Linked DNA regions of Schizosaccharomyces pombe. The protein of the gene in region 2 interacts with the protein of the main gene of each other region in a biochemical or structural test. Each region holds a gene or a part of one and is shown on either strand. Other genes may lie near its edges. The genes, in order: gtb1 and pkl1.

What was found.
Region 1: the proteins of pkl1 (region 2) and gtb1 interact in a test that uses a peptide from one of them, tested with the Schizosaccharomyces pombe proteins (one study listed by BioGRID).

The regions. Positions count from the first base shown.
Region 1 is NC_003423.3:2,789,554-2,794,979, forward strand, and holds gtb1 (gamma-tubulin Gtb1), read left to right. Parts: upstream 1-1,797; 5' UTR 1,798-1,916; coding exon 1,917-1,965; exon of another isoform or gene 1,966-2,027; coding exon 2,028-2,140; exon of another isoform or gene 2,141-2,189; coding exon 2,190-2,243; exon of another isoform or gene 2,244-2,312; coding exon 2,313-2,789; exon of another isoform or gene 2,790-2,833; coding exon 2,834-3,298; intron 3,299-3,348; coding exon 3,349-3,464; intron 3,465-3,522; coding exon 3,523-3,589; 3' UTR 3,590-3,668; coding exon of another isoform or gene 3,669-4,174; 3' UTR 4,175-4,265; coding exon of another isoform or gene 4,266-4,398; 3' UTR 4,399-4,459; coding exon of another isoform or gene 4,460-4,474; 3' UTR 4,475-4,631; downstream 4,632-5,426. Other genes in the region: protein Cwf12, read right to left, coding at 3,669-4,174, 4,266-4,398, 4,460-4,474; P-TEFB-associated cyclin T Pch1, read left to right, coding at 5,413-5,426. UniProt on the Schizosaccharomyces pombe protein: Tubulin is the major constituent of microtubules. The gamma chain is found at microtubule organizing centers (MTOC) such as the spindle poles or the centrosome, suggesting that it is involved in the minus-end nucleation of microtubule assembly.
Region 2 is NC_003424.3:3,437,000-3,442,805, forward strand, and holds pkl1 (kinesin-14 family minus-end directed microtubule motor Pkl1), read left to right. Parts: upstream 1-1,890; 5' UTR 1,891-1,933; coding exon 1,934-1,945; intron 1,946-1,983; exon of another isoform or gene 1,984-1,987; coding exon 1,988-2,621; intron 2,622-2,674; coding exon 2,675-4,362; intron 4,363-4,487; coding exon 4,488-4,652; 3' UTR 4,653-4,687; coding exon of another isoform or gene 4,688-4,796; 3' UTR 4,797-4,924; coding exon of another isoform or gene 4,925-5,049; 3' UTR 5,050-5,118; downstream 5,119-5,806. Other genes in the region: U5 snRNP-associated protein Aar2, read right to left, coding at 22-1,062; pfd6 (prefoldin subunit 6), read right to left, coding at 4,688-4,796, 4,925-5,049, 5,128-5,198, 5,249-5,288.

The DNA.
Region 1 (5,426 bases), on a different chromosome or scaffold from region 2:
TTACAAAACTCAATACTAATAGAATGAGTAGGTTGAAAGTAAGGTGTAGCGCGGCTGACCGTCCTACTTATGTTTCCAGCTGACCTTATTTCATAATGACATCAGACCTTAGTTTGGGTCAACACGATCTTTTAACAAGAGAAATTTACGTAAAATTAATAAAAATTCCAAGGAAGAAAAGTCGGATCGCATTTATCAAAAGAAATCTTATTTATTTAATCAGTCTCACATTCTTTTTCCTTTGTTTGCTGCTTTTAAAGTTAAAAAAAGGATATGTCGCAGTATACTGCCATTGTCTTTTGTCAACATACCACCAAAATGACAGAAATTTTTGCTGCTATTTAGTAAAAATATTTCAAATTTCGTATTTGTAAAGGTTATGCATAGAATGGCTGAGACTCATACTTAAACAGTATAGGTATCTAAACATTGTATGGGGCGATTGTAGCAGCAAACGATTAAGTAGTTTGCGTTAGTTACAACACCTAGTAATGGTTTGCTACCTTTTGTTTAAAATAATAGTAGACGAGATTGCCAATGGCCGATGTTGTTTATCTTAAAGTTGAAAGTGAAGCGAAACCTTTTTCTAACTTTAAGAGTGGGATTTCTTCCATCCAAAAGAATATGCACTGCAACAAGATATAGGACACAGGCAAATTATTTGACAAAAACAAGGAACCGTATAACTACTTTTTTACTTTAATCTACAAATAAATTAGTAGGATGTAGAAAAAGGTATCAGTGATAGATTATTTATGTATTATCTTAAAAGTATTGTTTTTTGCCCTTTGAAGGGCAAAAAGCAAAAAGGATCAAAATTATGCTCCAGCAGTGACTTGAACACTGGGCCTCTTGCTTACTAGGCAAGCGCTCTACCACTGAGCTACAAGAGCTAGTTGGAATCATTTGCTAAAAGGTATATATATATGCATAACTATTAAGAAATGCTCAGTATTTTTTTGAAATAGAAAATGTTGATATTCGGTTTCTATTATTAAGTTTTAAATTCCAAACATTGTAAATATGTCGTCGTTCTTTACATTCTTTTTTTAATAAATCTTGGTTTAAGTTAAAACCCAATTTTACAAGCTCGCAACTTTGTTGTTAATAAAAAAAAATGTTACACCTGCTAAATAAATATTAAAATCAAACTGTTGTTGTGTGGTATTACCTTATTGAGCTTAATTATAATTTCAGTAAAAATTTATGTTCAATTTTTTTTTTTACTTTCAATTAATTTATTTATTTATTAATTTGTAAAATATTTAGACCTTTGCCAAATAATTATTTGTTAATTTTTCATTTTCTACAATCTGTATTAATTAAGATAAAATTGTCTTCAAAAATACTTTTAGTTTTTGGAAAATCATTTGTTTCAGTGTTTGAGTATCCACATGAATTGTCTAATTTTATATCACTATTATTTTTTTATTCGAACACTCATAAATTGTGTCTATTGTGTTACTTTCAATTTTAATATTTACATTCAAAGTTGCATATATTTTTTACGAAATAATGTACTAAATGATTTAGAAATATTTAGATACGATAGTAATCAATACTAAATTTTATGACACATTCTAAATTCACTTACTTTGGCTTTCTAATTTCCTGTTAGAAAAATTGTCATTCCTAATTGAATTTTGCAGCAATGCTCGAATCAGCTCCAAGGTTGATAAATTTATAGTCAAGAAATATGTAATTATTTATAATAATCTAGTCTAGTTGACCTGGAAAATGTTTGCTTTTCTTACTACCAACCTTCTCTTATCGACCTACAGTTCACCCAAGCACAGCGAAATACCTCAAGATACCCTTCTTTTGAAAACCACCTATTTCAGCAAAAAATCTTTCGCGGTTGTACTTTTAAGTAAGAAGCAAACATCAAAGATTGTTTGCTCCTTCATTGTTTAATCATGGGCAGAGAAATCATTACGTTACAAGCTGGTCAATGTGGTAATCAAAGTATGTTCACCTATACTACTATTAATCAAATCGAAATTCTAATTACTCACAAACTTGTCTAGTTGGTTCACAATTCTGGCAACAGTTGTGTTTGGAACATGGCATTGGGCCTGATGGCACGCTAGAAAGTTTCGCAACTGAGGGTGTTGATCGAAAAGACGTTTTTTTCTACCAGGTTGGTTTATTGATACACTTTAAAGTTTCAACATGTTAACTCATTTTAGTCTGATGATACTAGATACATTCCTAGAGCCATTTTGATTGATCTGGAACCAAGAGTATGTTATCGCATCCTTTTATTAGTATTTGCTGAAATATTCAAGTGACTAATGTCCTCTTTACCTTAGGTGGTCAACAATATTCTAAGCGACACCTACGGCAGCCTTTATAATCCCGAAAATATACTTATTACCAAAAATGGAGGAGGTGCTGGCAATAATTGGGCTAATGGTTATTCGCATGCTGAGAGGATTTTTGAAGATATAATGGACATGATAGATCGTGAAGCTGATGGAAGTGATTCTCTAGAGGGTTTCTCGCTTTTACATTCTATCGCTGGTGGAACGGGTTCTGGGCTGGGCTCTTTCTTGCTTGAGAGATTAAACGATCGTTATCCCAAGAAGATTATCCAAACTTATTCAGTATTCCCTAATAGTCAATCCGTATCAGATGTTGTGGTTCAGCCTTACAACAGTCTTCTTGCATTGAAGCGACTGACATTGAATGCTGATTCTGTTGTTGTGTTGGACAATGCAGCACTTGCTCATATTGCTGCTGATCGGTTACATACTCAGAACCCTACGTTTCATCAACAAAACCAATTGGTAATTGATTTATATTAGGTCTTTTCATCAACTAACTATTCTAGGTTTCAACTGTTATGTCTGCCAGTACAACAACTTTAAGATATCCTGGCTACATGAACAACGATCTTGTCAGTATAATAGCTTCATTAATTCCAAGTCCTCGCTGTCACTTTTTACTAACCTCATACACTCCTTTTACCAATCAGCAAGTGGAAGAAGCAAAGGCCATTCGGAAAACTACCGTGCTTGATGTGATGAGAAGGTTGTTGTTGCCTAAAAACCAGATGGTTTCCGTCAATCCTAGCAAAAAGAGTTGCTTTATTAGTATTTTGGATATCATTCAAGGAGAAGCAGATCCGGCGGACGTTCACAAATCCTTGCTTCGCATAAGAGAACGACGATACGCTTCATTCATTCCTTGGGGACCAGCAAGTATACAAGTTGCACTTTCTAAAAAGTCGCCCTATATAAAAACGAACCACCGTGTTAGTGGACTTATGCTTGCAAATCACACTAGTATTGCCTCTGTATGTTTCTGCAAATTTTTTTTTGAGACATTTAATACTAATCTTTGTAGTTATTCAAGAGAACACTAGATCAATATGATCGTTTGCGGAAACGAAATGCCTTTTTAGAGCAATATAAAAAGGAGGCTATTTTCGAAGATGATCTTAACGAATTCGATTCTTCTCGGTAAGTATCTTGTCTTATAATTTCATATTTTGAGTTAATTTACTAATGTATTTGACAGCGACGTCGTTGCCGACTTGATCAATGAATACGAAGCTTGTGAAGATCCCAATTATTTATCTCTTTAAAAAATCCTTCATAGTTTACGATGTCAAAGCAGACTTAAAATATAAAATTAATTCTCCTATCCTAGTCCTACTTCATAATCTATGAAATTCTGCTCAGCAAAGCATTTTTACGCCTTTCTAAAAGAATGGCTTCAACATCGTCTCTAGTTGGTATTTGCTCAATGACAAGAGGTTTCCAATCTTGTTCAACTTCATCACCAAGGTTCTCAAGATGTTTATGTTGTTGTTCTTCAATCTTTGCCTCAAAATCTTCTAATAGACTCTCTTGTGCTGGCGGTATGTAACCAAAGTACCAGGCGTCTAACCTTCTTTTCTGCATCTCCTGTTTGCGCTGTCTTTCCGGTATAAAACTCATATCAGCTTCAAAAAGTTCCTTAACGCCAGGTAACTCTCGAGCTCTTCCGTAATAACGATAATCGTCTATATCACTGATTTGTTCTCCTTCATCCTCAAATAGCTTTGCTTTATTATACAGATAATTAATCCCACCCAGATCACGAATTTGTACCTCCCATTCGTGTTTTTCACGCATCAATCGATTAATTGCATCGTTCAAATCTCGAATTTGATATTCAGGCAACGTTGCTATTCATGGTTAGAATACACAGAAATGATAAAAGCGGAATCAAGTTTAGCAAGTTAATTAAATTTGCTAATAAAACAATCTAGGACGTACCACTTTGAATTCGAGAGATCTTGCGAGAGATATCTTTTACTACACTAGCCCTATGTTTTTCACATATCGGCACAGACTTAATGCTTTTTATATCCTTGGGTCTCTTTTCCGTTGGTTTGCTGCCCACTACATACTATAACAAAGGGGTTAGTGACTGACGCTTAGGTTCTCATGCATATTCGTATGAACCTTACTTTCGCTGATGACATTGTAAAATTAAATGAAAATGATAGACTTGGTAATTAAAAAAATAGAGAAGGAAAGGCTCATTAAAATTTGACACAGAAAATAAATAATATAGACAAGTTTTATGGTATTTATCGAAATCAAGGCAAACCCAACACTTAATTAATTGACCTTCAACAGCCAATTCTTATTTAAGTACTTGAAAATTTGCTCAAGTTCCACCGATTGTGAAGACAAGCAAAAAACTTATAAGCAAGAAATTGAATGCATACAAGTAGTTATTTCGTGTAAGAAACACTTTATAAAACGGAAAAGAACAGCCAAAGTGAATAAGCTTATTGAAGCGCAACAAGCTTCTTAATTCATGGATAACGAAGTCCTCTTCTAAAAAAAGTACTAGTCTAAATAGTAACTAAGTATTTTATGTTCACTACAATTAAAGGATGATATTATTGCATAAATGGTCCCTTTCAAAATGATTACCACTTTTAATCCATCGTATTCAATATACTGTCAAGAATTAGGCAATTGTTGATGAAGTAGGTAACATCAATCATTTGGAAAAGTTCATTTCATCTCTTTGGTATCGGCTTTAACCTAAAAAAGAGTTGTTTATAAGAGATTAGCAGAACGATTTATAAGTATACAGTTGATTTTTTGAATATCTTACAAAGACTTAAAATTAAACAATCGTTGAGACCGTCAAAATCGTTAAAACTGACTTACGAATTATTCTAATAATCACTATATTCAATCAACGTAAATGGACAAGCATCGTTGTGGTAGATTTCCCCCTGAAAGATAGTAACCACCCTCCATTCTTCGCATTCTTTAGTTGAGGTATGTTAATTATATACTAAATGATTTACTGTTCTTTGATTTTGCTTATTCTTGCTCAATTATAGTTTGTTTTTAATAATTTGGCGACGGTAATCTCATATATAAAATCGATGAATTTCACATGAGTGAAGTAAT
Region 2 (5,806 bases):
TTCTGTAACAATATAAAACCTTCAGTGAATTGGATCTTCTTCAGTGCTTACGTCTATAACATAGTCACCGGTTTCGTGAACTTCAGCTTCATAGTCGGCAGCACTGTACAAATCTCCTTTCTGCATTAAACCGGCTTGTTCTTCATGAGAATTCAATAACTCAGAAATAGTTTTTAGGAGATTTTCTATCGCTTCGTTTACTAGAGAACCAAAGCTACCATCCACTTTCCTTTCACTTAGACTATCAAGGCAAGATAGTAAAACGCCTTTCTCAAAAATGGCAGACGTTTCTAAGTCGGATTCACTTAGTGAGCTAAGCTGAAGTTTGAAAAGCTCCAAAAAGGAAGCGTAAAACTCTGGTTCAGTTTCCGCCAATTCATAAGACTGCAATAGCAAACTCAACATATTCTTCCAATGCTCCAAAGCACCATAGTGGGAGAGAATAGAGTAGCTCAGAAAGGAAATTGATAATTCCGCTAATGCAGAGATGGGATTGTCATTCCACACGCTTTGGACGAGTCTTTGAAACAAAAACGATTTATCAATTGCTTGCTTAGACCGTTCAGGTCCAGTGGCAGACGGCGACCAGCTTCGTCGTAAATTGAATTCAGCGAAATTTAATAGTTTATCGTCTCGAGAGGGTTTTGAGAATTCCGGATCTTGTGACACAAGATCAGCGTTGACATACGTTGAAGTGTCTAAGTAGAAAAATTCACCTTCAGTAGCAAAAATTCTTTGAAGATCTTGAACTGTAATGAACTTCGTCAACAAGTCCCAATCCTTTGTTGATTCAAAGGGATAAAAGTTTTCGTCATATAATACATCAAGCTTCTGCAAAGAAGCTGTTTCAGATTTCGAATCAAAGTCGATACTATATTTCATATCTTCATGGACCATAGCAAAAACTCCAGAAATTAATCCAGCAGGGTATGTTGGAGACCAAGTGAAAAGATGAATTCCACCTTTTACATTTCGAATACCTGGAAGCTTACTAGCTTCATATGAACTCTGATCAATGCCAACGTAATATGTATTTAACCATCCGACAAACTCTATACTCATTATATACAAAACAAATTATTCCATATCTTCATTTATTTTGTCTATTAAGTTGAATTTAAGATCGTAGACATTGGTCAAAGCTAAGTTTCAGGCTACTGATTTAAGAGTTATAGCGATGGATATTATAAAAAACACCATAATACATTAAAGGTTTTTGGGTGTCAGCAATTCTACACTACGCTATAATATACATCGTTTCGTATCACTAAATATCGCCTGCTAGAATAGTAGTTAAGATCTATTTATTCATAGTTACGGATAAAATTCCATCTATCTAAATATATTCCAATTGATATAAATTAATCGAGACATTTTAAATAAAGCTACAACTGAACCTCGCTCCTTTAGTTTAGTCGTTAGCTAGATCGCTGACTGGACACTATTAGACTTCTTTAAAGTAATAAAAGTAACAATTGTTAGTTAAACGTACAACCTACCGCTACATGGCAAATCGTAATATAAGCTCACCGAAATTTTAGGTAGTGTTACACATTTCCGCGGACTTTGTAATTCACTTAAAGACACGTAAGGATACACTGAATTTGTTTGAGATATTCCAAAAATCAATCAGGGAATGTGGAATTACATAATATAAATAATATTACTTAAGTACTATTTGTTAATGGAATCAATTGTATTCTATACACCATTGATTAATAACATAGATGGATATACACGAGAGGCTTGAGACATATAATGATGCGTAGCATTGGAATTTGCTTAACAATTTAACACTCATATTTAACCCACGTAAAATAGTTTTACGTTTCTTAAAGCATCTGCTAATCAAAATCTGTTTTGTCGAGCTGATAAATTCGTGTTTATAGTATTGGGAAGAATTACTCTATAAAACGCTCTTTTTAACTTATAGATGGTAATTGAGGTAAGAGGTACTTCTGAGTAACTTATCTTATTAATGCGAAAGAATACAAAGGACATTTCCATAAACACAGGGTATAAACGACAGGAAGATGCTTTAAACACAGATTCTGAGGACTTAATATATCGACCAAAAAAAATTATTAAAACAAATCAAGAGGATGCAGTACATGATTTGAAATACGAAAATTTCGTATCAAAAAATCACGTTTTACAAAGCGACATTAATGGCAAGAAGAGGGACAGCAATCGAGACAAGGCCGCTGTAGTCACAGCGCCAATTGCTTCTACTCATGAATCTAATTACGAAGAATCTGTTTCCAAATTTAAAGAGAGTTGGCTGCCTCAATTAAAAGATCTCATTGAATCTCATAAAACAATATGCGAATCAACGTTAGCCTACGAGAGTGATCAAGCTATGGCTTCTTCTAATACATTAAAGAGAATAAAAGATTTAAAAAGCAAACCAAAAAATATTATACAGTTAGAAAGGTTGCATATGCTATCTAATGGCGAACATCGTTTATTATCGAAAGACGAAACCGATGATATTGAGTCTGCATACTTGAACCTTAGATCACATCTTCAGGTACAAGAACAGGTTTACGCTGAAAAGGATCATGAATATTCGTTACAACTTCAATCATACAGAGAGGCAGCAGAAAAGGCCAAGCAAGATAGTAAGAATACATGTCTTTATGCTGACTTTATTTGATTACTAACTATTTTAAAGTTTTAGAAACAAAAGAAAATCTTTCCTCTGAATTATCGATATCGAATATCCAGTTGAAGGAAGCCAAGGAAAGGTTAGAAGCTGCGAATGCAAGCTACCAAAAGCTACGTCGAGAACACAAAGAACTTGCACTTTATCATGAAAAGAAAACACATTCTCTAGTTTGTAATCTAAATGGTGAACGAAAATCCTTTGGGGATTTTGTTGAGAACGAAGTAAAGTCATATAAACATGAATATGCCAATATTTGTGAATCACTTCGGAGAGCTCTAGTGCTGATACAAGGTTCTTGTACTGAGAAAATTTTGCGTTTTAAAGAAAAAATTCTGGACTTATTAGAAATGAAACAACAAGAAGAAAATGATCGAATATCCCACATTGAATATGAGAATGATTTAACGGTTAAAAAGCTTAAAAGGAGAATATCTGAGTTGGAAATGGCAGTAAAAGAATATGAATCGGAAAAATCATACTCGGAAAAAGAATATGAAGAAAAAATCTCCTCTCTGCGTATAGAATTAGAAGACAAGTTAGCTGAAATTGACATGCTTCGAAATAAACTGTTAAAGGAAGAGCATAAACACCACTCTACATCTGAAAAACTTGAAGAACTTTCTAAATATGTTGCAAGTATTCAAGATAAAGAAAGAAATAATGGCCAGAACGCATTGGAACTACAAGCTCGAATCCAACAGCTGGAACGGAGAAATGAAGATATGTATAATAAACTGTTAGCAGAAGAAATAATCAGACGAAAGCTGCATAACGACATTCAAGAACTAAAGGGAAATATTCGAGTTTTTTGTAGGGTTAGACCACTACTCCCAAGTGAAGAATCCGAATATTGCATTGCTGATGTTTTACAATTTCCAGATAAAGACGCACTAGAGCCACAAAAACTTATTCTTAAAGGGCCTAATGTTGAATCATCACTCGGGCATACTTATGATCGTAATTATGAATTTTCCTTTGATCGAGTCTTTGCTCCTGAAAGCGATAACTCGTCCGTTTTTGAGGAAATATCACAGTTAATTCAAAGCGCTATTGATGGTTATAATGTTAGTATATTTGCATATGGACAAACAGGATCGGGTAAGACGTACACAATGTCGTCACAAGACGGTATGATAGCGATGTCAATTAAGCATATATTTAATTATCTATCAACCTTGAGGGAGAAAGGGTGGGTGTATAAATTGAGAGGTCAGTTTTTGGAAATTTACAATGAAACGATTTATGATCTATTAAACAAAGCGGAAATGTTGAAAAATCCTAAGCACGATATTCATCATGATGAAAAGGAAAGACGAACAACAGTGGATAACGTTTCAATAATTGATTTTAATGAAGAAGATACTGTTTACAAGATGCTAAATCGAGCAGGAGAAAATCGATTTATAGCAGCGACAAAAGCAAATGAACGGTCTTCAAGATCACACACTGTTTTCATGCTGTATATAGATGGTGAAAATTCTAGAACCAAACAAATATGTAAAGGTACGCTAAATCTAGTTGATTTGGCAGGTTCTGAGCGGTTAAGTTACAGTCAGGCAGTTGGGGATAGACTACGAGAAACGCAAGCTATTAATAAAAGTCTCAGCTGTCTTGGCGATGTTATCCATGCACTTGGAAATGCCTCAAATAGTACCACGAAGGAAAAGTCTCACATACCATACCGAAATTCAAAGGTGAGTATTAGAATGAAAAGTTCTTTACGAAACACGTTCTTTAACTGTCAAAGTGGCTACTTATTTGCTTTGCAGCAGTGTGTAAAGTCTATATTGAAAGCATTTTTGTACTAACCAGACATTAGCTAACTTATTTGTTAAAATATTCACTTGGAAAAGGTGCCAAAACCCTGATGTTTGTTAATGTGTCTCCTTTAAAGTCGCAATTCATGGATACATTAAATAGTCTGCGATTTGCAACAAAAGTCAATGATACAAAAGTAGGTTCTATTAAACATTATAAACGTTAAGCTTATTTTAGAGTAAAAAATGTTTACCAAAGCATTTAAGATGCTGGGTTTGGTGGAGCAGCTGCTGCTTGTGCTTGAATGATGGCACCTTTAACTTTGCTGAATTCTTCTTGTGAGATTTTTGTTTGATTTTCGAGGCGTGCACTATAATTATGAATTAATAAAATGACATACGCAATTCGATAATACAAATGAAGAAGTACAACTCGCATTTTTAGAGAGCGATTTTAACCTCAAGGAAATTCTTCTTTTTCAAATTTCAACAAACATACATTTCTTTATTAATGAAATCCAATCTTGTTTTAACGTTGGTCTTTGCTTCCTCATGACTTTGCTTTACAAGGGTAGGACCGATTTGCTTATATATATTTGAGTCAGGAGCCACTTTTTCCAATTCCTAATTCGCATTAACAAAACAATTCTAATATAAATGGAGAAAATAGGGAAAATAGTAATTTTTGTGGCCTTAACGTACATTGAGGACAGTAGTGTTTTCTTGTAATTGGGTTTCCAACTTTTTTAAACTTTCGACATAAGTGCTTAGTTCTTGGGAATTTCGTTAATTATTTAATTCGATGCAGAAGGTTTTGATTTACCTGTTTGTAGGTTCTGATATTTTTTAGCTAATTCCTCCATTTCTATTCCTGTGTAAAAAGACGTAAAAGGATAGTAGGTAAAGAGACATTCTACTTACCTTGAAAGTCAGCTGAAATAGCGAAGTTCGTTGAAATTCTATATTATGAACAAAATATATTTTAATTGTGTGATATGATTGATTTTATGACTATATTGGATAAAAACGAGAAATAAATAAAACCGAATTAATTTAAACAGAGAAATGTAAGCTACACTAGGAAATCGATTTATGAATGAGTGAATGAAGGTGTTGCTGAAATTTTGAGTAAAGACTCACTGTTTTGATACAACAAAACTACTTGGTTCAGTATATAAATTAGTGAATTGCAAACCTTTTTTTTGAATAAAGGATATGAAAAATATTGTTTTAGTTCACTTCTCAACTGCATCCTTCTGGAATTAACAATTCGTAAATAATGAAACCGTTTTAATGAATACAAAAATGTCTTATTAATATTCAAAGATATAAAGGAAATATTTTGAATGGAGATAAAGCTTCAGATATCATTGTTCTTTAA